Linked DNA regions of Struthio camelus. The protein of the gene in region 1 purifies or fractionates together with the protein of each later gene. This does not show direct contact. Links are inferred from orthologs where the notes say so. Each region holds a gene or a part of one and is shown on either strand. Other genes may lie near its edges.

Region 1 (7,548 bases):
TCCGAAAGAATTGCCTAATCTTTCCTGTGAAGAACGGCCACTTTGACTAAGCTCCTTTGCTTCCAGAATAAGTAACTAGAGTGACAGTCACTGCAAAAATTGGAAATATGCCACTTCCAACAATTTTGGTGATGGCTCAAGGAAGGTTGAAAAAAAAGAGTATCATCTTAATTGTTTGTGTATATATCAAATAGTGAAGGAGGGATTACTATTCCGTCTTCTCAGGTTTTGATTTTTTTTTTTTTTTTACTTCTTAACTATCATAAAGTAACACTTTTTAAGTCCTTAAATTCTCTTTAATGATTTCTTTGCTTAATTTACTGAGTGAAAGGTGTAGCTTTGCCATGCTATCAGCTGAGAAAGCATTCTGATCTAGTCAGCATTGCATTTATTTGCAGCAGTGCTCAAATAAATGCAATTCTATTGCTTTATCATTTTCCTTAAGTCTTTCTTCCTGCGAGAGTCATTTGTTTATCTGGATAAACTAAAATCTGTCTTATAAAAGCATACATCACTAACATTTTAACCTTAACCTGTCTGCAGCCTTCTTGTTTCCCAGCTGTTTTCTCTCTGCCAACACAACACCAAGTCAGCGGTTGCTGAGAAGTCTGCATGGTACCTTGTCTTTGTTAGTGGCCTTTCCTTTTCTCTGCACTGATCATTCTCACATAATAAGGAACCTACATCATTTAAGAGTGGCAGAATTTATCATGCTAAAGAAATACTTCTTCTTTATCTAACTAAGGGCTGTTCTTAAGCATCTGAGATTGCTATGCAGCGTACGGTTAAACACATTGCATAACACACTAAGCTTCACTAAATTGTACTGATTAATCAGATAATCTGAAATCCACTTTTGTTTTAGACAGTGTGATGTTCACCTCTGTTGTGTTTAAAAAAAAAAAAAAAAATTAGGCATCCCTGATTTTTCTTAAAACTTGGCAGGCTGAGTGTCAGTCAGGTGAGTTTATTGGTGGGATCTGAATGCTTCTGCCAGTATCTATCCTACCACACAGAGCCTTCAGTTTCCTCATCTTCCTTATCACTGTTCATGTTTAACAAGTGCCTTCCAACTTTCTTTTTACAGAGGCGCTGAAGAGAGTCTTTAAGTGGCTTCAATTTGAGACAGTTGAGTACATGGATCTAGAAGCAAACCAAATGTATGCAAAAGTTAAAGAATACAGCAAGAAAGATCATAGCAAAATGGACTGTTTTGTTTGCTTCGTCCTTTCACATGGTGAAAAAGACAAAATAAAAGGCGTTGATGGGGAGTTTGTAAATATTAAAGATTTGCTCTCTTGCTTTAGTGGATCTAACTGTCCTTCTCTTGCTGGAAAACCCAAGCTGTTTTTCATCCAGGCTTGCCAAGGGTCTGTAGGTCATCCAGCTGTCACATTAAAAGAAGACTTTTCTGACCATCTTGAGACAGACGCTGTTCCTCTGGTTTCCATTCCCGACCAGGCTGATATTCTGGTTGGCATGGCTACTGTGGAAGACTTTGAGTGCTACCGCCACGCAAAGACAGGCAGTATTTACATTCAGTGCCTCTGTGACAAAATGGAGTTGCTTTGCCCACTGTAAGTACTGTTTTTAACCCAGGTACAACTGGGGTATTGTTGAAATACATACTTAAGCATGCTGTGCTGAAACATGGCTGTTTTGCATTTGCTCTATATAATGCTTTTCACCTGCAGAGCAGTGTCTGCTTAGTAATTATTCCGGAAGTGGGCACTGTTATTTTTCTTCTACAGATGAAGCAAAGTTCAAGTGACTTACCTAGTTTGTCTGTTACGGAACCAGAATTGTAATGTTGGAACATTACATATAAGCAAGTTTGTGTTTATATATTTGAACACACATCATCAAGTGTGTAAAACATAAAAAGCATGTAAAACAAGTGTGTAAACAAGTGTTTAATACATAAAAACAAGTGTGAACATGTTGTTTTAATGTATCTTTAAAATGACAAGGGATCTTTCTTCCAGTGACACCTGATGACAGGCAAATTTGTTGCTTGAGTACACAGGCAAAAAATTAGTACCCTTTATTCGTACTTTTCCCTGTTTCCTCGCCCATGTCCACCTCCCAACCCTAAACTTGATTTAGAAAATAACATTTCTCTCCAGGCACCGCTTTCTCGTGAAGTCCAGCGGACGGCTTGGAAAATGCATAAATTTGCTTCTGTGTCATCTTAGTGCTGTCTTTTGACCATAACCAAGGTAAAGGAGTGTGTTTGTTTGTAAAGTGATTCTACACAGAGGTTACTTTATTCCCCAGTACATACTGAATGCTGTGATTACACAACAGAGCGCGCAATTTCAGTGACAGACAGGATGACGGGAAGATACCAACATTCCCCAAGATCTCATGTTATTGGAGTAAACATAGGTCAACTTCTTGGCCTAGTTGAAAGTACCATGTATTTCAATGTACCTTTTCTTCATGTTTGTTCAAGGCGCAAGGACCTGGTAACCATCCTGACAGAAGTGAACAAGGAAGTGGGAAGAGCAGTACTAAATGGATGGAAGCAGATGCCAAAGATATCATCAACCCTAAGGAAGCAGTTGATCTTCCAAATTCCACAGTCCCAGTCAACTGAAAATTAGAAAAATAAGGACACGGTCAATTAGGAATCACTCTGGAAGGCGTCTCCTCATGGAATTCAAGAGAATTTGCAAGAGGAATTATCTGCATCTATGTAGTTAGTTCACAATCCTGCAAGGGGCCGCGTGGCCTCAATTTTCTGATTCCCATGCTTATTCAGTCTCCTGGCACCTGAGTTTGTAGCAGCCTAGTAGAGCAGGGGAGAAGTACGGACCTGCTTTCCTGTCCTGCAGAAGCAGTGTAGTCTGTTCAGTCCTTGTTTCGAGTGAGGAAGCATTTCCGAGCAGTATGATTCTTAAGCGTTGTTGGAAATGTCAGTGGAAATACTATTTTCAGTCTGTGTTGTTAAGAGAATACATCCTTGAAATCTGAAGAAAACAGCAATTAGATGCAGAGTGCAAGGATCGCTTCCCAGGGAGTCCAAGTAAGGTTTTAACAGATACATCAGCAGTGAATCATGGGCTATCTGGAAGCTGTATTCTTCACAAAAAATAATGTCTCTGCCAAGAAGGACCAAAAAGAGGTGGTGATGACAACAATCATGATACAAGTCTGCACTTCTCTGATTCTTTCCCTCCAAAGTTTTATTTGCTTCCTGTTATTAATTAACTCAGTTAAAAAGCACTGAGATTTGTAAGTTTTTTTTGATAATATGGGTTCTGATTGTGGTTTGTTTTTTTTTTTCTTGGCGCGCTTAAGGGCAGTCTGTATTGAATAACTGTCAGACATGTGGAAGGAAGGTCTCACTCCTTTAGAACCACAGTTCTGAGATGGCTTCCCCTCCTGGCAACTGACTCTAGGTGCCATGGGCTTTTTGTAATAAATACGCCTGGTTTCTCTGTCACCCTTGTCACTGTGGTATTTCTCGGATGAGTTGACTGAGGCATGTTCAGCATGACAAACACCTTGCTTCTTCTGGAAAAGTTATCTTTGCTCTCATTGAAGTGTTCTATGGCAGTCACCCTGGGAGGTGGCAGATTGATATCCCTTCTTTAGCAAATGGAGAAATGGTAGAGAAGAGTGAGCTAAAATTCAGGACTTTCATGGTTGTATCAGCTGCTGCGAGTAAAGCTCATTTTTTTTCTTGCATCTTTCAGCAATGAGTAGTGGCTTAGGGGAGCTGTGTGGGATTCTAAAGGCTGCATCCTTTTTGAGCTTTACAACAAGGTAAAGGATGGATCTGAGACATTTCCTAACTTCTGCTTGTTTTAGATTAAATTTCTCGGAGATCACGTCTAAGCTATAATACAGGGGTTCTTCACTCGATCATGCTTGTGTTCTTGGTGTGAGACTTTTTTTTTCCCCCCCCTTAATTCCAGGCAACGTGTCGGCAGTTGCATTTTGCTCCGCTTAATCTTTTTCACCTCCCAAGTAAAAGGGAGAATGTCCATTCCTAGAATTACAGCTTTGTTCATACAGGTTTCATACATAGTAAATAGAAGTTACAACCACTATGTAAATGAGTGTGGTGTTTGTGGCAAATATTTGCTGAAAGTGTTGTTAGTTACGGTGCAGTTTTGTGGTTGACATTTGGTAAACCATTTAATGAAACATCTAGCATCAATTTATTTACCTTCTTATAGTGTTTTCATAAATGAGGCCCTGCTATGAAGTTAGTAGTTAGATTTGTGAATGTTTTATGGTACAGAAATGAAGCTTAAACAGGGTAACTGCATCCTCTGGGAGAAACTTACTAGAAGATGACGGCTAAGATTGAGAAAATGTCATTGGTGAACTTGTGCATCTGCAGTATTTCTTTTTCTTCATATTACTTCCCCCATCATCAGCCTTGCATGGTGTTTTGTTCTACCTATTAAGCTGTGACCACTCATCTCCACAGCCAGTGTTATTGCCTGCTCATGAAGAGCCACTAAAAGAGAAAAAAGCCAGTGAAAATCCTCTAAAGCAGTAGTTCTCTTGTACCAATGAACTGTTGCCTCATAGTCAGGCTTATGAGTTACTATGAACAGGTAAGCAAATCAAGCAAGTCCAAATGAGCAAAGAAGTAAAAGGGCTTATCTCTGAAAGCACCCAGGTTAATATTTGCAGTTAATTTCATTAATGTCTCAGAAGGCATCTCTAGCTTGTACAAAAGGCATACTTGCAATGAAAACTTAAGTGTTTTCCTTATCAGTTTTTTTTAACATTGGTTTGTGCTACTGACTGTATTGCAGTGTTTTTCTAAGACCAGAGAAAGGTCAAGGAAAGTGAGGTGGGGGTGGAAGAAGGGGGAAATGTGTTAGGAGCTAATGTATTGGGAGGATAATGAGAAAAGAAAGTGATTGTGGCCATACAGACAAGGACTGGTGGCAGAGAAGAATGCCTGTAGTCTGTTCTTGGACACACTGTTGGATTCGGCTGTTCTGTCCATGTCCAGGCACAGCAACGAGAATTAGGAGCTTTGGTTCTTACAGGCCTTGAACTCTGGCACTGACACGATCTGTTTTCGTCCCCTTTGCCTCATGCATATTGAAATATTCCATCAAGAATAAGTTACGAAAAGAATCATAGTTGCAAGCCGTTGCAGGAAGCAGCCATACTAGGAATTTGTATGCCCACTGTGGCTCGTGCAGTGATCAGGGAGAAAACGCACTCTCAATTCTGTGGTCTTGAGCAAAGTATGATTCACAGACTCCTATGGGAGATTGGCTGATAAGTCTTTGCACATACTTGTGGCCCTCCCTGTAGGACTGAGGCAAGCCCCCTAGGACTGTTTGGCTCTACAGTTTTCGGGCTCTGTTTTTCCTCTTTCTCTACCTTTTCTGATAGCAGAGCTTGGAGAATAGTGAGCAGCCATTTCCTCTCCTCTGCAAAGGTCCTCAGCTACAGTTATTCACCTGTCTTCTGTTTTCTTTGACTCCTGGCGGGCAGGCCAAATGCTATAGTAAAACAATGCTGGCACTCAAGTCTGTGTTTGTTTGCAGCCAGCAGAAGTATCATCACTAGAAAGTGGAGTCAGAAAGTTGGTAGGAAAGTGAGGCCAGTGAGTTGAAGACCTACAGGCTTAAGCTGAAATCAGACAAGATCAAAGTGATGCTGTTTGAAAAGGAGAGAAGAGTTGGGGAGGATCACTGTCTGCAAAGGCAGAAACAGTGTTACTGGGTGATGTGAATCCCTGCCCTGTCATTTGCATCTTGTTACGTATTTGTTCAGTTTAATCCCTGAGAGCTGTTTGTGCCCGCCTTCCCTGGTGAGTTTGTCATTCTCTCCACTGAAAAGGTCTTTCGTGACCTGTCGTTCATCACCCACTGGCAGGATGGATTCCTGGCATGTGTGAGGAGCCTGCTTGTGTTGTGGATGCTGCCTGCTTTCTCCCATGGCACTGGCTGCTGAAATACATGTTTTCCCACTGGTTCCCACTGCCTGTATAAGGGTTCACTCTCAAATCGGTGAAAAGTTCAGCTACTGAAGAATTTTGATTAAAATAGTTGTTATGTCTGTGGTCTGTAACATCTCCTGCAGGGAATCTCGAAGCCCAGAGAGGGCGTTGAAACAAAATGCCCCCGGTTTAGGAGATCCAGCTGTGCAGCAGCGAGCTAGATTGTCCTGATTGTCAGTGTTCAGCCCTTGCTGATGGCCTTTTTGTTTGTTTGTTTTTGAGGTAACTAACGTGGTGACACGCTATCAAAAAATTATTCAGCTCTACCTCTTTCTAGCTAGAGAAAGAGATATATCAAATTATGAACGGAGAACAGCATGTTTAGTCTGAAATGACTTCTGTGCAATGCGTTAAAAAACTATGGTTTAGATCTTTGGGAATTCCCACATACTCATTTCTGTGTTTTCCTTCTGTAACTGTACCTTTACTTATCACTGTATCTATTCTATTATTGACAGCCATGGAAATTCCCCAGGCCCCTGAGGTGACTGGCTCTTGTGGGTGCAAAATGTAATACCTTCTAACTAGTGGAAAGTTCTTCTGTATGTTTCTTCTGAGCTTGGCTTGTGTCTTTTACACTAGTCTTACGTTTGTGTAACTGCTTCATGCTCAGGCCTGATTTATACAGGTATATCGGATCCATACCTCCTTCAGACTGTTTACTAGAAAAAGCTTGTTTTAACTACATGACTTGGGGCAGGTTAGCTCCTGGGCTGTTTAAAGGGTGTCTTGTCATTTTCAGATTACTTCCACTTTTGACCCAATATGCCATGCGTACAGTAATCAAATATCTTGTGTAGGGTTTTGAACATTAATAAGCCAACCTCTAGGATAACAACAGAAATATTTCTCCCTTATATATTGCTATAGCAGACATAGCAGACTCTGTGTTTTGGGGAAAGGAGTCTGTTTTTAAATCCAGTACAGCATTCAGTGAGCACACTTTGTTTCTTTATTTGGGGAGTATGGATAGTCTCAGAGTGGCTCTCCTGCTCATAGTGAGTGCTAATGTGTTGATGTTCCGTTTCAGAAGGCTGAAACTCCTTCTGGGTAAGATCTCCTCCCTCGTATTGTGGTGAAATACCATGGATCCTCTATTGGATCAGAAGGTGTAACAGAGGTGTAGCACTATCCCAGGGGCTCACACCATTGCCCTGCGTTCCTGTGAGCTGCTCCTGTTGCTAAAAGGTTCTTTAACGGATCTTGAGGGTTGGGAAGGGAGCTGACACAACAGTCAGTGCCTGTCAGGGTACAGGATTGAACATCTGGCTTAAGTGTGCAGCATTTCCTGTCAACAACCTGCAAACTGCTCACAATGAGGAAGTCAAGTAAATAACTTTCTGACGTGTTTTTCTGTTTTGTATTAAAATGGGAATGGATTGTTAGTGTCTCTAGACTAAAGAGAGGCAATTGTAGCAAAAGCCAAGACAGAACAACAACTCTGTACCTACAGAAGTAAGCTGTTTTCTCAAAAGTGGGCTTAGAACTATTTTCTTTTTTCCCCTGTCGAAGATACCCTTGGGATGCATGTGAAAATAATGAAGTGGCTGAGAAAAGCTTTTATT
Region 2 (7,548 bases), on another chromosome or scaffold:
CCTTCACCTCCACACAGTCTCTTTTAAGGATGGACATAAACAAGAAGCCCATGAGCAAAGAGATGCATCATTAGGATGAAAATACGTGGAGGGTGTGAACCCTTGAGCACCACAGCGTTAGCTAGCTCGCGTGAGGTTAACCGCTAACTGTGGCAGATAGGAGTAGACTTCCCCTCAGGGCTGTTTATTGCATAATTGTCCAGCGTGGGCATTTCCCACTTTGGTGTCAAGTGTCCCTGCTCCTGGCCACGGGGCGGGGGGACAGGAGCCGGGAGGAGAGCCAAGGCTCTGCTCAAACTCTTGGACTCATTTTATGTTCCACTTGCAATAGAGCTGCGGAAGCAGGGCGAAACTCGGCATCACAAAACTGCGGTGGGTCCCCCCCGGCTTCTCCATGCACTTCGTTTACGCCCGCCGCTGCTCTTGTGGTGCAATCTCCCCGGCTTCTGAACGGTTCCTGCTTCAGACGGAGCTGCGGAGACGGGGAGGCCTGCGGCGATAAGGCCTGGGGGAGTGACAGGGGGCCTGTCTGTGAGTGATAAAAACACCCCTCTCCCGCCTGAGACCGGTGCCTCGTCTGCAAATGGGCCTTAAATGGAAATGCTCTGCGTGCCAGCTCTGTGCATGGCTGCAGCCAAGCAGTGGAAATTCTTGCTTGGCGGGTGAATGACGTTACCGGCCCTGGGAGTCCCACCCGGCGCTGCAGCATCTGGCTGGGATGGGGCTGGGGAGTGGGAGAAGGCTCACATCACTCAACTCGCTCATTAGCTTAAATACCCACGGCACAGCAGAAAGCCGTCTTTGCTCAGAGCTGTGGAAAAGCTGTGGTTTGTCAGCACAGATAACTCCATTAGTCCAATTGTATAAACAGAGAGAGTGAGACAGATGGACAAAGAACTGCAGCTTCGCAACAAGTGTTTGGCAGAACGGGATTAGGCCTTGGGGTCTCGGTGCTGAAGGTTGTTCTCACCCTGCTGAGGTGCACCTGAGGGCACAGTGTACATTATTGGGCAAACTGGGAAGCAGCAGTTCTAAAATATGTTCTCACTTCTGCATCCCCTTGCCCCATGTGCAGCCTCCTGCCCATATGGATTTATGCGATCCCATAAATGCCCCATAAATGGCAAGTCCCATAAATGGCGTCAGGTTGGTTTTTTTGGAGAGTAGACAGACAGGGTCCTTCACAGTCCCGCTGGATACAGCCAGGGTGCCGTATCGCACAAAGGCCAGGCATGGCCATCTGAAGTTGCAAATGCAGTAAGGCTGTTAAATAGCATTTATTCTGACCTAACTGAAAAATGAGTTGTTCTCTAAGGCCCTGAATCACTTGAGCTGAAGTCAGTGGTATCTAGAACACAGAACACATGGTTTTGGTTAAACAAAAGGCCCTGCATACTTTTGGGGCCTGTCATATAACTACCCACCCAGGAAACAACCAGGAATTCCTGATCTACTTTAAATCATACTTCAGCTTAATTATTTTCTGTGTAGACAGGCCCTAACTTCTGCAAGGAGAAAACTAGGTTTCCATGGCATGGCACAGCTGGTTGCAGAAACGCTCACTCTCTCAAGAGTTCAGTGCCCAAAGGGGAGATGCTTCCCAAATATCCGTGGCCCGAGCGTGGACACTGCTGGTCTGCTTGGATCCAAGGAGCCTTCCTTGCAGGCTGCCTCCCTGCAAAGCTCTGGAGATGCTGAAGATGCCACTGAACTGGTCAGCAGCCCTGTTTTCATCCAAATTTTCAGTGCACTGAGCCACTTCCATGAAGAGCAGCTTTTCCTGCGGAGCGGCCAACCTCCTCTGAGCCTTGTCACCCAGTTGCAGGCTCTCACCCACAGTTGCTCTTCCTGGGCCTGGACTTGAAAAAGGATCAGTCACTCAAGAGTTACTGCTGGGGCAACTACATGCCCAGCCTCCGGTGAGTCACATCCCCACATGCATCCCGGCTAGGGCTGTAACAGCATTTCTCAGGGAGGGAGCATTTTCCAAAGCCCTGGGCTATTGAATGCAGCTAACACAAACCGAGCCCTAAGTTCAAGTCTGGTACGGAGTCTAGGAAAAGATTAACAGGTCACAGCTCCTCCATCTCTCCATCTCGGCTTTGTTTCGGTGGAGTAGTTTGTCCCACTCGCTATCCAAATGAGCTCACTGCAGAAGGGCTAGCGGTGTAATGGCACAAAGTCCAAAGGTTTTCCTTTCTTATTTTTTTTTTCTTTGGGCTCAAGCCTGCAGAAAACCGCGTGGAATTTCCCCACTTTCCAGCTCAGAGGCAAAAGTTAGGGAGGAGGGGTTTTGAAGGAGGGGTGAGGGTTTTTGCTGAGCCGCACCACAGCCCACAGGGCGGCTTTGCACCTCGTGCCCGGCCACCGGCCCCTCCAGGAGCCTTTTGCGTCTTCCTGTAAACTCCGTGCTCCTCGCTGGGATTTCTTGGAAGCAGGAGGGGATATTTATGTAACTCCATTTTCCCCGTAAAACATATATTCTTGCTCACTTGAGGTTTAGACGCTGCTATGATGGGGGGGGGGAACAAGCTGAGAAAGCAAAAGGTGTCAATGAAAAGCCCCTCGCAGAAGCATTCGTGAGGGCGCTTGTCTGATCTGGAGGCTTGAAAACCAGCCGTAACTATTTTCCCCGACACACCCCCCCCCCCCACCCATCCACCCACCAACACGAAAGCGCTAAAAAATGAAAGTTCCGCGGCAAGCCGGGCGGGTTCAGTTTTCGGCCCGGCCAGTGAAGCTGTTAACAAAAGCCGTGCTGAAACCTCCGTGCGGCTTCCGAGCGGCGGCGGCGGCGGCGGCGGGGCCAAGCGTGCGCGGGATGGAGGGGGGGGCAGCACGGGCCAGCCAGCCGGCCGGCCCCCTTCCTCCTCCTCCTCCTCCTCCCGGCCCGGCCCACATCGCGTATTTAAGCCGGCCGCCGGCCGCGTTGCGGGAGAGTGAGCGCACCGGGGGCGACCCGGAGCCGACCCGGAGCTCAGCCGAGCCGCCCCGACCCGGAGCCGGCCCCGCTCCCGCGCACGATGCGCGGCGCGCCCCGACGGCGCTGCCGCCTCCTCCGCCTCCTCCTCTTCCTCCTCCTGCTGCTGCCGCCGCCGGTGTGTGGGGTCCGGGGGGGGGGGGGGGCGCCGGGCGCCGCCGCGGCATGTCCGGGCTTGCTGCGCCGTCGGGGCCCGGCAAGGGGTTGGCGGCTCCCCCTTCACGGGAGTTACTGGGGGGGGGCGCAGAGGGTGGCTGGGGGGGGGCAGCGGGCGGAGGGGGGTCGTAGGGGCTGGAGGGGGAGCAGTGGGCGGAGGGGGGGTCGTAGGGGCTAAGGGAGGGGGCTCCCGGGGGCAGCGGGGGGGGCTCACCTGTACGGGGGGGCAGGGGCTGGGGGGGGCTCACCTGTATGGGGGGGGCTCCCAGGGGCCGTGTGGGGGACTCTTGGGGGGTTATGGGGGGGCTCACCTGTACGGGGGGAGGCTCCCGGGGGGTTATGGGGGGGCTCACCTGTACGGGGGGAGGCTCCCGGGGGGTTATGGGGGGGCTCACCTGTACGGGGGGAGGCTCCCAGGGGCTGTGGGGGGGGCTCACCTGTTTGAGGGGGAGGCTCCTAGGGGGTTATGGGGGGCTCACCTGTATGGGGGGAGGAGGCTCCTAGGGGGTTATGGGGGGCTCCTAGGGGCTGTGGGGGGGGCTCACCTGTATGGGGGGGAGGCTCCAAGAGGCTATGGGGAGGCTCCTGGGGGTTATGGGGAGCAGGGGCCATGGGGGGCTCACCTCTATGAGGAGGGGGCTCCCCTGGTGTGTGGGCTATGGGAAAGGCATGGGGGTTTCCCTGGCCCAGGGGCTATGGGGGCTCCCCTGGAGAGCTTGGGGGGGGGCTGCAGGGGGCTCCGCAGGAGGCTCGTAGGGGAGCAGGGACACGTGGGGCAGGGCGGAGGCGGGAGCGCGTTCCCAGCCCGCCGGGGCGCGGGGAATGGGCACGTGCGCCCGCGCGTGGGGCGGCCGGAGGACTGGAGGGGATTTCCACTTCCTCGCTTCCAACGGCATTGTTTGCCGTTCCGGGTCGGGATCTTGCGGCGACACCGAGTCCGTGCGGACGTTCGCGCCACGTGAACGCAGCGGGACGTTCGGAAGTGTCCGGGCTCTGCTGCGGGCCCTTCTGTGCCGTCTCGTGTGGGGATATGTGATTTTAGACTTCCCCAACGGCAGTCTGACTCCTTAGCGTTGGTGACTTTTAGGATAGAAACTCCCACCCGCCCATACTGTATTTCTTGGGTTGGAGGTGGCTATAGCTCGGAGAGGTGCCCAAAGTCTCGTGTCGCCTGCAGTCAGTGGGAACCCTGTCCCGAGGATCCCGGGACTGGCCCCGATTCCTGCCGTGGCGCAGGAGCGGCTCTGGGACGCGTGGTTGCTGTTTGCCTGCTGGAATTGCTGCCGCTGAAATCGGCGCTGCCTGTAACAGGTTTTTAAGTGCCTCATCTTCTCCGGTCCCTTCCCGTGCTGTTTCTGTGAGTTGCACAGGTTAGGTGATCCCTTCTTGAGTCTCCCTGCTCTTTGCTTAGACTTGCCTGTATAGGCAATAGCCTTACCGACCCCATCACCTACAGGCCTGCTCTTACTGGACTTGTTTTCTTTTATAAAAAATAAAAATAAAAAGGGAGGGAGAACTGATCAGGACTGATGTTGGCCCACGTGATAATCATACGATATTATGGCTGCAAGTTGCTTCCTCTGCACACCATGGCTTGTTGCATCATGCCTGGACACGGGCCACAGGCTCGTGAAGAAGAAATCCTCCGAATTTCTGTATTTGCGGGAGCTCGAATTCCATCCACATAAGGTCTGCAGGGAAACCCCAAGTTCAGCAAACTTATTCCCTTGGAGCAGAGGCGTGTCAGTTGTCTGTGAAGTCTCTCTCTCACTCCTTGTTCCTTAACACTGTTGGTGCTCTGGGATTAAGAGCCTCACTCCCTACATCAAGGGTTGACATGGTTATTAATACTGTCTAGATGCTTTGTGGTGGTCAGGAGTTCAGTTTGTGGGCTATCTGCTGCCATAATGGTTTGATTCCTTCCTTGGGATCACTTCAGGAGGAAACCAGAAATCGGTGGTAGAGGAGAGAAGGTTCAAAGATCGGCACTTCCCAAAAAGTCTTCTCCAGGTCTGATCATCCAGACCGAATAGAAAGAGGGGTTTAAATTCATGGTCGATGAGGATATTGGAAATTACTATGACTGATCATTCTTCAGCTTTGGGGCAGCATTACTTTCTTTGGATGTTTGCTACGGGTGAAAAGTACTCTTGAATACCATTGCTTGCGTTGAACTTGACCTCCCTATGCAACTTGCTTTAAAACTGGCTTTTGCAGTGATAAAATAGCTGCCTGTGCTGGAATTGATCAGGCAAGTCTTCTGATGCTGGGACAAGCTGAAGTGTGGCTGTATTTCTTTCTCCCTAGGCTTTTTTTTAAAACCTCTTCTGTGATCTAGGCAGGGTCCTTCCCTCTGTTTTTAAGTTAAAGATTTTTTTGGATTGTTTTGCTGTTTTTTGGTGAGTTCCTCCGTCTCCTGGCAAGTTAGCTGTGCAATTAAAGGCTGAAGGTGAGGCCACCCGGCCCAAGGAAGATGGAGGTTTGCCCCTGGATTGCCACAGTGACTTGCCAGCAGGGAGGGCCAGGTCTAGAGGTTATCATAATCCTAGGGTGAAGTTAGTGCTGGTTGCAAGTGTCCTGTTAGCACCTTGCAGTGGGTGTTGGACTGGGTTTCTCCAGGGCCAAGGTATGTTGTGGTGGTGTCTGGCCTCTGGTTATCAGTATTTTGGAGCAGGCAAGGGTAAGAGCTGGCGGAAAGCATCATAGGACACACGCTTGGAGCAGAAGGGTCCAGGCTCTGCTATGGGCATGCAGCGACTCTCTGAACCCCTTTTTGCCCGTTTCCTGGACTGTAAAACTGAGGCCACCTTTTGCCTGTGGCTCCTAGGCTGGCTTATCTCAGTGCTTTGCAAAACTGATAGGTTAGATTCCTACCTGCAAAGGGCTCTGTCAGGACGATGTACTTGAACTGCATTTGCTCTTGAAGGTGGTGTGGGCTGATAACCTTATCATGCACTTGTGCAAGCTCAGGGAGAGCACTGAAATCCTGTGCCTGAGGGGCCCTCTGAAACAACAGATGTTGTTGCTGTGGTTGCCTTCACGGCTTGGCAGGAAAACTTTCTTGCCCATGAGGGCAGTCAGGCAGTGGGACAGGTTGCCCAGGGAGGTTGTGCAGTCTCTGTTCTCGGGGGCTTTCAAGGCCAGAATGGGTAAAGCCCTGAGAACTGCAGAGGGTAAAACAACTTGTGACTGGAAGGTAAAAGCTGAGTTGTCTCCTAAGTTGGATGCAAAAGGAGTTTATAATAACTTTATAATAAACTCTGGGAGGCAGCCAGCAGGAGATCTGCACCTGTACTTTGCAAAACCCCAAATGCTATAGAGCTGGTAGTTGTGTTCGTGCTCTTTCTTACGGTTGGGATATTTGTCTGCATGAGGCCTGAGTTTCTTTGCTTTTTTTCTGCGCTGTCTGGATTAGCAGCGTGCCAGCTCTAGGATCCCAGTCCTGCGCTGAGGTCCAGCTTCCTCTTCTTGCTTCCTGCCTTTAACCGTGTAGCTACCCAGAGCTCTTTAAGCAGCTGTGACACCCCAGGGGAGGTGGGAAGTTCAAGTTCCCGATGAACTGTGTTATCTAAAGCTCGGGTAACACTAATGCAGTCTGAAGGAGGTGGAGGAACCGTTGCAGGGCTCTGAGTTGGATTACTCCAAGCCAGGGTCTGGAGATGGCCATATGCCCAGGCTGGCCATGGCTGGGGGGTTTGTGCCTCTCTGGCTCCCCATGTTGCGGCATGCGGGGCGAGAGGGACCATCTCTGGCCAGTGCTCCTGGAGGTAATGGAGGGGAATCGTGGCTTGTGGGCAGGCTGGTCTGAGGAACCTTTTTTTTGTGGGTGCTGTGCTGAGACCCTCAAGCCTGCTGCGGCTGGCTTTGCGCTCACACCCTTCCTCGCAGCGCGCTGGCTGCCGGAGGAGGAGGGGATGTGGCTCGGGAGGTGGTGCGGCTGACTCAGACAGTGTACTGCTTGTGCTTCTATTGTCTCCACCGTTCTTTCGAGGCAGCTTCTGACTCATAGAAGAAATATTTGTTTCAGGAGGCAGGTTTCGGGCTGGCTTGGAGTATAGAACTAGAAAGGGAAATGGCTATTGCCACACAGTCGCTGCTGTGCTGCCCCATGCATGGCATGGGAGGGGACTGCCCCTCTCGGCTCAGGCTTCTGTCCTTCTACCTGGCTTTGCAAAGGGACAGAGGCTGGTTTGTGTCCATTTGGCCTCCTGACACAGTGCTAACTTGTGCCCAGTGCTGAAAAGTGCTGGGTGTGATGCTGAGTGGTCCTTTCCCATGCTGGCACAGGGGTGGTGGTCACAGCCAGAAGTCAGGGTGCACCCAAAACCGTGATGGAGAGAGTGGCCGTTCCTGTCCAGCCTTGTCCCTCCACGGCTTGAGTGATCGAGCAGATGCAGAAAGAGCTGAGCCAG

What was found. The genes of interacting proteins can lie anywhere in the genome.
Region 2: the proteins of CASP8 (region 1) and tumor necrosis factor receptor superfamily member 10A-like purify together in Homo sapiens (affinity purification with western blotting; 14 studies listed by BioGRID and IntAct, counting the BioPlex papers as one, with this or other methods). This does not show direct contact. The link is inferred for Struthio camelus from reciprocal best matches to the Homo sapiens genes CASP8 and TNFRSF10B.

The regions. Positions count from the first base shown.
Region 1 is NC_090947.1:10,352,152-10,359,699, reverse strand, and holds the start of CASP8 (caspase-8), read left to right. Parts: upstream 1-3,111; 5' UTR 3,112-3,237; exon of another isoform or gene 3,238-3,448; intron 3,449-3,579; exon of another isoform or gene 3,580-7,548. Other genes in the region: caspase-8-like, read left to right, coding at 1,088-1,577, 2,456-2,606. UniProt on the Homo sapiens protein: Thiol protease that plays a key role in programmed cell death by acting as a molecular switch for apoptosis, necroptosis and pyroptosis, and is required to prevent tissue damage during embryonic development and adulthood.
Region 2 is NC_090968.1:5,190,328-5,197,875, forward strand, and holds the start of tumor necrosis factor receptor superfamily member 10A-like, read left to right. Parts: upstream 1-3,898; 5' UTR 3,899-7,391; coding exon 7,392-7,548. UniProt on the Homo sapiens protein: Receptor for the cytotoxic ligand TNFSF10/TRAIL. The adapter molecule FADD recruits caspase-8 to the activated receptor.